Pelodiscus sinensis: one gene and its partners. The protein of the gene in region 3 purifies or fractionates together with the protein of the main gene of each other region. This does not show direct contact. Links are inferred from orthologs where the notes say so. Each region holds a gene or a part of one and is shown on either strand. Other genes may lie near its edges.

Region 1 (3,745 bases), on a different chromosome or scaffold from region 3:
GGGGGGGGGGGGGCAGGCCAGCAACCAGTATGAGAGGCAGTAGTGCAGGATGCCAGATGGGACCAGTCCACAAGGGGAACCAATTTAAAAACCAGCTCCCCTCGCAGACTGGCTGTCTGCCACCCCGCATTGCGGCCTCTGATGCAGAGGCAGCAGCATAGGATGACATCAACCATTGTCCTTAGGAGGTACAAGCTTCCTGCAGAGAGAGGATGTTGGGGGGGAAGGGGCTGGGGGAGGCTGCCTCGGCCCCATACCTTGTACCCCCTGTGCAAGCTTCTGTCTGCAGTGAGCCTGGGCCCACCGGGGACAGAGGCTGTTGCCACGAAGCAGCCTCTATCCACTGCAGGCAAAGGCTGCTTTGTGGCAGCCTCCCTGCCACCCTTCCCCAGGCTTCCCCCCATGCAGCTACCTCTATTAGAGGAAGTGGTGCGGGAGAGGGGCAGGCGTCATCGCAAAGCCGGTGCTGGGGAACCAGATTTTATGATGACTCCCCCAGCACCAGCTCCTACTTCCCCCTCCCTTGCTGCCTCTGATACAGAAACAGCAGGGGTGGGGAGGGAAATGCAAGTAGTCGAGAAGATTAACCAATAAGCCTAAGTTCATTGGTTAATCATCTACTCAACTACTCGTTCACATCCCTAATACATAAAACGTTTGTGTGCATATGCACACCTTCTTTGTATGCATATGTGTGTGTGTGTGTGCGTGTGTGCGCGCGCACACAGAGGAAAGCTGAAAGCTTTTTTTGTCTCCCTTCTATCTGTGACTCGCAACTTCATATTCAACAATAGAGAGTAAAAGCACACAAAAGGCCAGATTTTAAGGAAGGACACCAGATTTCACAGTCCATCATGCATTTTCCACGATTTGGTAGGGCTCTAGCAATAACCCTAAAGTAGACAAGGCTCCCACAGTTTCTGGCAAAGATTTGTTTGCTAATAGAATCAGCAGGGGGGGGGAAACTGCCACATAGCCCGTAGTGCCCATTTACTGAGCATATGTGTCATACTTCAAATCAAGTGGAATACTCTCACAAAGGGCCTATCTTCACTACCAAATTTGAGGAAGGTTTAACAGGATTGTAAAGAAACCAGTTACCTGACACAGTACTGACCATAATTTGTCCTGGTTTACAACCAGCATAATATCATAATTCACACTGTGACAACTAACTGAACTCTTCACTGACATTTTTAAATACAGTTAAGGGTAGTTCGCGGGGCGGGGGGGTTGGTTTTGGGGTTTTTTTAAAATGAATATCAGCTCTGAAATTGTTTTTTAGGTCTATGGAAATTTGTTTAAAATAATGTATCAACTTGATGTGGTATTGGAGCTGTTTTGGTGCCAGACTATTAAAAGACAAGGAGGCTAAGGTAGCATATTTTCTTGAACCAGCTTGTGGTGGTGAAAGAGACAAGCTTGCAAGAAAAGCTCCATGTAAGTTTTAAAGTTTCTCTCTCTCTCTTTCCAACAGAAAATGGTCCAATAAAATATATGACCTTCTCCACTTTGTATCTTTATCACTGACATCTACTTACTTTTTAAAAGTTGTCACTTACAAAGATTACATTTGCCCTTAGACTACTCTGCCAATTACACCATTTTAAATAACATTTTCTTATTTTCAAAAATATGTTTCTCTTCTTTATTACATGAAAGACCCACACATAGAACAAGGGATTTTGCCTAGGTAGGCCAACAGACTCTTTATTGGTGAACTCCTGACCCCATGTACACTCAGTTACAAGACGGGAAGGAGCTGGTATTTCACAGGATGAAACTATGGAACCAACTGTATAAAATGCTGTCAAAGGGAGAGTAAACCTGAGGGCACGTCTAGCCTGTGGCTTCCGAAAGATGATGTTCATTTTCGGCTCGAATTTGCATATCTTCTTCCGGTTTTTTTTCCCCCCAGAAGAAGCTTTTCCGATATTTGGCCCGTCTACACAGGGCCAAATATCGGGGGGGGGGGGGAGAGAAACCCTCTTATTCCTCCTCTTGAGAGACCTGCCCCCTCTAATGTTTTAACTTTGAAGAACAGCAAGTGACTTTCTTCGCAAAGAGCAGCAGGATTTTTCTTAAAGCTCAGAGACCCCTTTACACCGCTGAAGGCTTTCGACGTTACACCGGACTTGGACAGACCCAGGCTGCGCCGGGGCTCACCCAGCGTTTCAGGGCGACAACACCACGAGGCGGGAGCTGGTGACCGGGGCTGCCGCGGTGGAGCCGGCAACACACAAAGCGCTTCGGGGGGGGGGGGGGCGGACAACGTGCAGCACCTGAGGGCGGGGGAAGCGGTTTGCGGGGGGGGGGGCAGCGAAGCGCGGCTCCAGAGCGCAGGGCAGCGCGCGCACAAGACCTGCGGCGCGAGGGTGTCTCGGGGCCCCGGCGGGGGGGGGACACTGGCCAGGCCCCGCCCCTCTGGCCGGGCGCTCCGGATACTTACACAGCCCGCTGGAGCCGGTGCCGGGGAACATGGTCCCCGAGGGTGCGGGGGGTGTCGCCGCCCGGGAGTCTCCCGAGAAGCCCCCGGAGCAGCCCCAGGAGCCTCGGCGGGGCCCAGGGACGAGCTGTAAGGCGGCCGGGATGGGCCAAACAGGACTTCGGCGAGGCCCCGGCGCCCCCTACCGGCGGCGCCGCCGCCCTGCAGGCCGCCCGAGGCAGCGCCCTTCGCTGCCGAAACGCCCCTGCCCGGGCGGACACGGCGCCCGGCTTCTGGGGGGAGGTTCCTCGCTGCCTCCCCCGCCCCCGGGCGCGCACAGCCCTGCTGGGCTGCAGTGAGTGTGTTAGACCACAGCATTGTACCCGGGCTTCATAAAGTGACTAAAGCGCCGCACCGCTCCTCGTTTTGAAAGGTAAAAGACTCACACAGCTCCCCCCTCGCAGAGTTCTGGTCTGTGTCCAGGCTCCCCGTTATAATCAACATACAAGTCAAATCTTGGACCTATCAGCCTTGACACCCTTTTCATAGTATTTTAAGCCAGGAAAAAAAATGTTTCCCAATTGGCTTTGAAAAATGAGGACAAACATGATAATGTAGACCTAAGTAGAAATCTTTTTTTGTTGTTGGTAGAAGCTGATGTACTGAGCCAAATCTGTTACTTCCCTAAGGGACACAAACACTCTGATGAAGTTGTTTGCTAAACACACTACAAAATGCAGTTGTCCTTGCTGTGAATGAAGTTGCCAAGTGGTTGTGGAAATACTAATGTCAGAATAGACCTACGTAATTCTTTAACATAAAGAGGTTTTTGTAACTGGATGGCTTCTAGGAAACTTTTCTATTGGTCATTCTATGTACTATAATTATCGAAAGCTCAAATGTAAGTTTTATTTGCCAGGGCTGCAAATAAAAACGTGCAGTTAATTACAGCGCAGATTTCTAGGCTTGAGCTGTAAGTTAAGTTCTGGGCTCTCTTCCCACCTTTCAGTTCTAGAAGCTACAAAGTGAGCAAGTCAAAAGAAACTTTTCTTTCACCAAACAATCACTTCAAGAGTTTGGATGGAAACGGGCAGCCCTAGACTAGCTGCCAGCACCTGGCACCTTAGGCAAACCATGCAATCAGCACCCCCACCTCCAAACCCTTCAATGATATTGCGCCACCATTTGGCACCCCATTTAACTTGGTGCCTGAGGCGACTGCCTAGTTTGCCTATATCAGTGGTCCCCAGCCTTTTGGGGCTGCTGGGTGCCCGAGGACAGAGCCACCCATGTGCCTGGGGGCAGGGCCTCCCAAGCGCC
Region 2 (3,745 bases), on a different chromosome or scaffold from region 3:
AGGGACCGGCCCTGGCCTGACATGCTGGAGTTGAGAGGCACAGAAGGGGGTAAAAATTGTACCTGGATGTGGTCCTCTGTCTTAAGTGTACACATAGAAAGAGTAAGCTGTTACTTGGTACCATTATTTCTATTTTTCTATCTTTATCTTCTTTGTAACCATTTTTAAGATCTATATTTTGCTAGTAGTTAAGAAATAGAACAATAGCCATTGCAACCATATGATTTATAAGTTTCTTTAATAAACCTGTAACTGTTTAAGTTTTAACCTGACTCCTTAAGTTGCTGTAACAGAACCAGGCACAATTTAAAAGAACTTCAGCCGGTCTTAAGGGACAGACCGTTGGCTGACAAAGCCTCAGAAGCGCGGGGAACCCGCCCGGTGCCCCTGGTCTGCTGGAGACGGTCTCCAGCAGACCAGGGGCACCGGAGCAGCTTATGAACAGGGCTTTCTCGCCCCGGAGCTCGCAGGTAGCAATCCGCCACCTCGACCTCCAGGGCGAGAAAGCCCCGTTCGTAAGTGCGGATCCGACGTAAGTCGGGGACTGCCTGTATTAGAGAAAACTCCCTTGAGCTTTTGTGTTATGGGACTGTTCTTTTTTTGCCATTGTAAAAAATATAGTAGGCACAATCTACCCTTCTCTCAGACAGGCACAAACTGGCTAAGATTTGGCCTTGTTTACTTTGGAAAAAAAACTGGACTTTGATCAGGAAATACAGCGCAAGCTCTTGGCAGGAAGGAATAGGCAAGAGTCTAAACGTGCAATCTGAATGAGGCCAGCAAGGCAATGTACTTCTAAATAGTCATTTCACGGAACCCAAACTAGAGATGTAAGAGAGTTGTCGATTACTCGCATTTTCACCCCCCTTGCTGCCTCTATCAGGGGAGGGGGAAGAGGCAGCAGCTGGTGTGAGAGGCGGGGAGGGGAGGCAGAGGTGCAGCAGAATTGCAGTTCTGCCTTTTAAATGTAGTAAGAGTCCCTAACCAAAACTAAGTTTTCCAGCACGTAGATTCTAGCAGGATAAGAAAATAAACTTTCCCTTTGGTGCCCACAGTTGCCCAAGTGCAGAGCAGATTTCTCCATGTCCCTTATTCAGCCCAGGTGATTAAACATCCTTCACCTGGACCAAGCTACACACTTCCTAGAACAATCTGTGTCCAGCTAGTCACTCTTTCCCAACTAAAGGCTACAGTCATGACTAGCTTAGTACAAATCAGGAAAGAGATATGAGATCCAAGGGCCCCTATAAGAAATGGCTGAGAACCAAAGCTTCCCACTTGTGAGTGTGTAGGGCAGGCAAGGGAGAAATTAGTCGTTTATTCCTGCAGAGTCTGTGCTTTCCCTTGGTTTGAAAAAGTGACATTTCTAGTGGCCAAGATTGCAAAGACAAGCCAGGTATAATCCAGAGTCTTGTCTTCCTGTTTCTGCAGACAAAGAAGCATTAAGGCGTCTGCAGCTGCTGCTCAGAAATTGCCAAGGGCAGCAGAATCAAGTTAGCAAGTTTCTGGGTAAGTCTCCCTGCAGACGGACGCTCAGAAGTGTGAACAGCATCGGAATTATTCACTGGGTAAGAGAGTCCAAACCCACCGTGACTAAGGGACAGGGCAGAAGGGGTCTGTGTCCACCAAGCCCACGACTAATCTAGGAGGATATCAAGAAACTGGTGTAATAACTAACCGCCTCTCAGCAAGCGCCAACAGACCATTTCCCGTTCACCTTGCAGACATTAAGGCTCCTACTAGTAACAGGCAGGCACTCTCCCGCCGCCAGACTCCCCACCAAAATCAAGTGTCCCAAGGAGACACCGCTGCAGCTTCCTAAGCGCTGACTTGGCAGCCAGGAGCACGGACTGCGGCTCCCGTCACCCCCACACACAGACACTTCCCCACGCGCGGAACAAGCGGGCCCCTCCCCCCCACACACACTCCCCACGCGCGGAACAAGCGGGCCCCTCCCCCCACACTCCCCACGCGCGCGCGCAGCCGGGAGTCTCGCCACGAGACCTGTGGGAGCACCAGGCCCGCGCCCCGCCGCATTCCCCGGCTCGGGGGGGGGGAGGGGGAGTCTGAGGGCAGCGCCCCGGGCCGCAGCGAGGGCCCCCCCCCAGCCGGCGTGACGGGAGGAGGAGGGGGAGGGGGAGGGGGAAGGGGAGGTCTCCGCTGCGCCCCCAGTACCTGCTCAGCGCCGCCCCTCACGAGCCACCGAATACATCACTCCCACGCATGCGCAGCCACGCCCGGCTACTTCCGCCTCCCCCAGCCAATCACCGAACAGAATCACAGCGCCCCCTGGGACGGTAAAGCAGCGAGGGCAAAATACCTCTCGTCCCGGACCGCGTCGTGCAGCACCGCTCCCTGGCCGAATCCGACCCGGGGACGGGCGGTGTAGCGGGGCGGGGCTCAGCAGAGGGGTGTGTGTGACGTATGGGGGCGGGGCTCGGCGCTGGGCAGGGTTCAGGGCCAGAGTAGCATTGTGCAGTGTCACAAGGGGGAACCAGGCTGAATGGGGGGGGCACTGGGTGGTGTCAGTGTGTGGGGGGGGCCCCAAACCCCCATCTGCAGCCAGCACTGACCGCCAGCCAGCAGGCAGAACAGAGCCCCGTCTCTGCCCCCCCACTTAAAACACCCCAAAGCCTGCTCCAGCCCTTCTGCAGCCTTAGTCCTGCTTACAGGACACCCCCACCGAGGCTCAGGGTACAGAAAGCATCATCCATTGTGTACCTGCAGGAGACCGACACTGAAATTCCCATCAGCATCTCACTCCTGGTGAAGTGCCTAGGGAAACTAAGGCACATGCACTGGGTTACTACCCAGTAATAGAGATAACATAACATAGTAGTAGAGATAACAATAACATAGCAAACACAGTCCCCCACTTTGTCGCATCTCTTCTCCCTTCGAGACCAAACGGAGCAGGGGCACTGAGCCAGTGGCCTGGGGAAGTTCGGGGCCCCTGCTCTGTGATAAAGCATTGGCTATGACATTAGCACTCCCCTTAACATGGACCACCTCTGTGTCATGATTCTGCAGGAGCAGACTCCATAGCAGCAGCTTGGTATTCGCCCTTTCATTTGGTCAGGGGAGAGTGGTCCGTGTACACCTTGAAATGCCACCCAAATAGATATGGCTGCAGTTTTCTAAGAGCCCACACCCTAGACAGGCATTCCTTCACTATGAGTACACAGTTCTGTTTGCAAGGCAGCAACCTCTTGCTCAAGTACACAATAGGGCATCTCTTCCTTTTTTTGTCCACCTGCATTAGCATCACACCCAGCCACCAGAGGCATGGGTAAACACCATAAAGGGCTTGTCAAAGTCTGGATTTACCAGTACTGGAGCCCCAACCAAGGTCTCACAGGGAGTCTATTACACAGCAGAGGGCACTACTGCAAGTCTAGTTAAATAGGTATTTTAATACAGTCCCAACCAAGTGAGCACATGACACCTCCACAATAATTAGAGGAATGTATATTCACAAACAAATAGCATCCCTACAATTATCAGCTGTTGGAATAACCTATAAACAAGGCTCTGTCCCTATTGTTTCTGGGTAACTGTAAATTGACCATCTCCTAACCTAACTTCATACAACCTGACATCCACCCAGAAATATTCTGGGTTGAAACTGCCTGATCCTTAGATCTTTCAGCAATAAAAGCAAACAGCCAAGGGGATAACCTGAATTCGTATTCCATGGTCAGAAGGGACCTTTATGGCCATCTCCTTAGACTGCCTATTGCAGGCC
Region 3 (3,745 bases):
ACTGAAATCTGCCAAACTGATCACCATACAGAGAAAACTGCCGCAAGAGAACAGGTGCTCTATGAACAGTAGCAAATGGTTTCCAGACTGCATCTCACAATGTGACTCAATCCTGACCTGTAGGGACCAGTTCTAAAGACAAAGTGAATTACATTCCTGTAGACTGTACATACTGTTTGTCCACTCTGCTGACGCTAGCAACACAGAACTCTAACTGGGGCAGCAATTTTTGTAGTGTAGATGCTAGATATGTAAAATCCCATTAAATGACAACCACTTAAAAGTTAAGTTTAACCAGTTAACTGATTAAATGGCATTGAGTGGCTGGACTGGAGTGACCACCACGCCATGGGCAGGGCTACTGCAGCCTGGCTTCTTCCAAGCCCACACTGGGCTGCCGGCTCCCAACCTGCACAGGCTTAAAAGCAACAAGGAGTGGGCAGCTGCCCACCTGGGAGTCAGCAGCTTCGCACAGGGTCAGACTCTAGCTTCCGCTTTGAAATGCACAAGAGCCCCTGCTGCATTTCAAAGGCAGAACGCAGAAGTGCTTATCAACTAGTCGATGGAAATTCCATTGACTACATGACTAGCAAATTAATTGCTACTTAACAACCCTAGTTCTTTCTCCTCTCCAGCATGAGGCATGACAGTGCAGGGAAGTACTTGCCTGCATCCTCCACACGTTGTCCTCATTGGCCATGATTCCCAGTCAATGGGAGCAGCACGGGGTGCAGCTCCACCTGTGCCCACATGGGAGCTGCACCGGGTAAGGACCCCCAACCCCTCTCTCGCACTCTTCTTCCCACTCAGATCTCGGAACCTCACCCTATCTCTTGCCAAGACCCCTCACTCCCATTCCGCTCCTGCACCCTCAGTTCCAAGAATGAAAGAGATGGTTATTGCTTTCTCTTCCTGCTTCTCAGTTGGTGGCCACATCAACAAGTGGGTTTTTTTCCTTCTTATTGGTGTGTGACCACCAACTGATTTTTTTTCTGTGGATCAATGGCCTCCAACCCAAAAAAGGATCCTCACTGGCTTTAAACTAAAATCTCCCACTGCAAACTTGCACTTACTTAAGATGCAATTTACACTTTCTTACCCATCACTTCTGGCACAGACAGTTTAAGTTCTGGTGTAAATCTTAGACTGGCCAGAAACAGATATAGCGGACTTCTGTCTAACCTCTAAAATTAAATCTTGGAAGTCAGACTCAGACCACACAATTCATTTCAGACAAACTAATGACCAGCCTCATCACACATTAGCAGCTATCAGTCACTGTATATCAGGGATGTAAGTGTAGCTGTTTAATCAGGCAACTGATAAACTCATGCTTACTGATTACTCAGATGGCTATAGGCTACATTCATCTACCAGGGAACTGCCTGCCACTCAACATGTAAATTTTCAGCAGTTCCAGAGTCAATTAATTACACACATTTTAACATCCCTACTGCCTACCTAGTTCGGATTCAATCCAGTGGCCAGCTCCACTATGTGAACTACAGCAGGAGGAGCTTGAACCATGTCTGTACTATTTACACAAGGGTCTGTTAGTTTGTGGGAGAAAAAAACAATTTTCTCAGGCAACCCTGTTATCCCCAGAGGAAGATGGCAGCCAAATCAGCTGCTTTGCTTCATTGGATAACAGGGGTCCTTCCCAAGGAAGTAGGCCTGGCTGGTCCCTGGGCATCAGGGAAATCACACCAGCTGGATCCATAGGTCACCCTCTCCCCCCAATATCACTCATTGAACACTTAGCCTCTCACCCAGCTCAGCTACATACTCCCAGCCCCTCCAGGACCACTAGCCCAGCTACCTGCCCTACAGCCCCCTCACCCGACCCGTGGTCCCTTTACCTCCAGTCCTGTCCCAGCCTCACTACCCACCCCAGGGCCCCACTCCTATCCCCCCACTCCCCACCCCAGGGCCCCTCTCCCCCTATACTCCTCCCCCCTTGCACATCCAAGGGCGCCCTCACCCCCACTGCCCACCCCAGGGCCCCTCTCCTCCCTACTCCTCTCCCCCCTACTGCCCACCCCAGGGCCCCTCTCCCTCTATACTCCTCCCCCCCCCTACTGCCCACCCCAGGGCCCCTCTCCCCCTATACTCCTCCCCCCTTGCACATCCAAGGACCCCCTCACCCCCACTGCCCACCCCAGGGCCCCTCTCCTCCCTACTCCTCTCCCCCCTACTGCCCACCCCAGGGCCCCTCTCCCCCTATACTCCTCCCCCCCCTACTGCCCACCCCAGGGCCCCTCTCCCCCTATACTCCTCCCCCCTTGCACATCGAAGGGCCCCCCACCCCCCTGTTGCTGCCCCCCGGCCCGCCGCTCACCCAGACGCAGAGGCTGTCCGACAGCAGGTAGTAGGCGATGTCTAGAGGCCCAGGCCCGGGCCCGGCTCCAGGCGCGCTCTCCGCGGCGGGCGGCGGCTCCGGCTGCCCGGCGGGGCCCTGGCTCAGGGCGCGGTAGGCGGTGAGGACGCTGCCCAGCAGCGCCAGCGCGCTCAGCCCCGTGTAGGTGCGGAGGCTGGGCCAGGGGAAGCGCTCCAGGAACAGCAGCGGCATCGCGGCCTCGGGGCCCGGCCCAGTCCGCCCCGCGCCTCCTCTCCGCGGCCTAACGCTCCCCGCGGCCGCCGGCTGCCGAGCGCACTGCCGCGGCGGGCCCCTCCTTCCGCCCTGCCGGCCCGGCCGAGCGCCTCCCCCGGGCCTGGCCGCCGCTCGCTCAGCGTCGCGCGCGGGGCTCGGGCCGGGCGGCTGAGGGGACGGGCCGGCGGGGCCTGCGGAGCTGCGCGGCCGAGGGGCCGGGCCAGTGGAGTAAATCGCCTCTGCCCCTCTCCACACGCGCCTTGTGCGCTACGCGGGAGTGTGGGAGCCGCAGACCGAAGTAAATCCCGGGGGGGGGCAGCTTTCCCACCGGCTTTGTCACAGTAAACAAGCCGCTCCGCAGAAGACCCCGCACATGGGACTAGATTCCCAACCCCTTAGTCCGGGACTGCGGGCCCCCAGCGAACCCGCGCGGCCCCCTTGTCCCCCACAAAACAAGCTGCAAGCGAAAGCCTGCCCTACACGCAACTCGCGGGGCAGTGAAGCCAGGAAACAAGCCCCCCTGATGCGGTGTTTTATGCCAATTGCCAACTTTGATTAATACAAACCACTGGGATTAGAGGGCTGAGATGTAAGTAATGATTGAACAGCCTTGACGGGGGCCATCCCTGTGTTTTTCCCCAGGGAACTTGAAGGAAACAATGAGGATGTGAGCGGTAGGGCTTGCCTACGTTGGCAAATTTTGTGGTGTTAAAATGTCGTTTGTCAACAAAAGCGTGTGGGTATGTATGCTACAACACAAGTTTCGACACAAAAAGCCAGCTGTTTTCTTCAACAAAAAACTTCCAGTTCCACAAAGGACTTTTCTTTTCTCCTTGCTGTGTTTTCAATAAATATTCAATGTAGACATCTCAAGGTCGTGGGTTCGTTTTTCCTTATTCTAGCCTCCAGTAAGTGTCCCACAATTCCCAATCAGCTGTTCCCGTCAGCGGTTTTCACTCTGCTGCCTGCAGACAGGTGACCAGCCACCCACCTCACGCAAGCCCAAATTTAAATCCCTTTTGCTGCAGCATGAACACCTGGAACCACACCCCATCCACCCTGCACTGGCTCTACAGGCATCTCATGACATCTTCCCCAGTGCCCATGGCTAGCCATCGCACCAAACACTACCCCACTTTAACAACCTTAGAGCTG

Evidence for each region. Proteins that work in one complex are often made in the same cells at the same time.
Region 1: the proteins of AMFR (region 3) and UBAC2 purify together in Homo sapiens (affinity purification with western blotting; 4 studies listed by BioGRID and IntAct, with this or other methods). This does not show direct contact. The link is inferred for Pelodiscus sinensis from reciprocal best matches to the Homo sapiens genes AMFR and UBAC2.
Region 2: the proteins of AMFR (region 3) and ERLIN1 purify together in Homo sapiens (affinity purification with mass spectrometry; 3 studies listed by BioGRID and IntAct, with this or other methods). This does not show direct contact. The link is inferred for Pelodiscus sinensis from reciprocal best matches to the Homo sapiens genes AMFR and ERLIN1.

Annotation. Positions count from the first base shown.
Region 1 is NC_134711.1:249,005,560-249,009,304, forward strand, and holds the start of UBAC2 (ubiquitin-associated domain-containing protein 2), read right to left. Parts: upstream 2,584-3,745; 5' UTR 2,481-2,583; coding exon 2,450-2,480; intron 1-2,449. UniProt on the Homo sapiens protein: Restricts trafficking of FAF2 from the endoplasmic reticulum to lipid droplets.
Region 2 is NC_134718.1:7,018,517-7,022,261, forward strand, and holds the start of ERLIN1 (erlin-1), read right to left. Parts: upstream 2,309-3,745; 5' UTR 2,176-2,308; intron 2,102-2,175; exon of another isoform or gene 2,005-2,101; intron 1-2,004. UniProt on the Homo sapiens protein: Component of the ERLIN1/ERLIN2 complex which mediates the endoplasmic reticulum-associated degradation (ERAD) of inositol 1,4,5-trisphosphate receptors (IP3Rs).
Region 3 is NC_134722.1:44,145,075-44,148,819, reverse strand, and holds the start of AMFR (E3 ubiquitin-protein ligase AMFR), read right to left. Parts: upstream 2,711-3,745; 5' UTR 2,570-2,710; coding exon 2,339-2,569; intron 1-2,338. UniProt on the Homo sapiens protein: E3 ubiquitin-protein ligase that mediates the polyubiquitination of lysine and cysteine residues on target proteins, such as CD3D, CYP3A4, CFTR, INSIG1, SOAT2/ACAT2 and APOB for proteasomal degradation.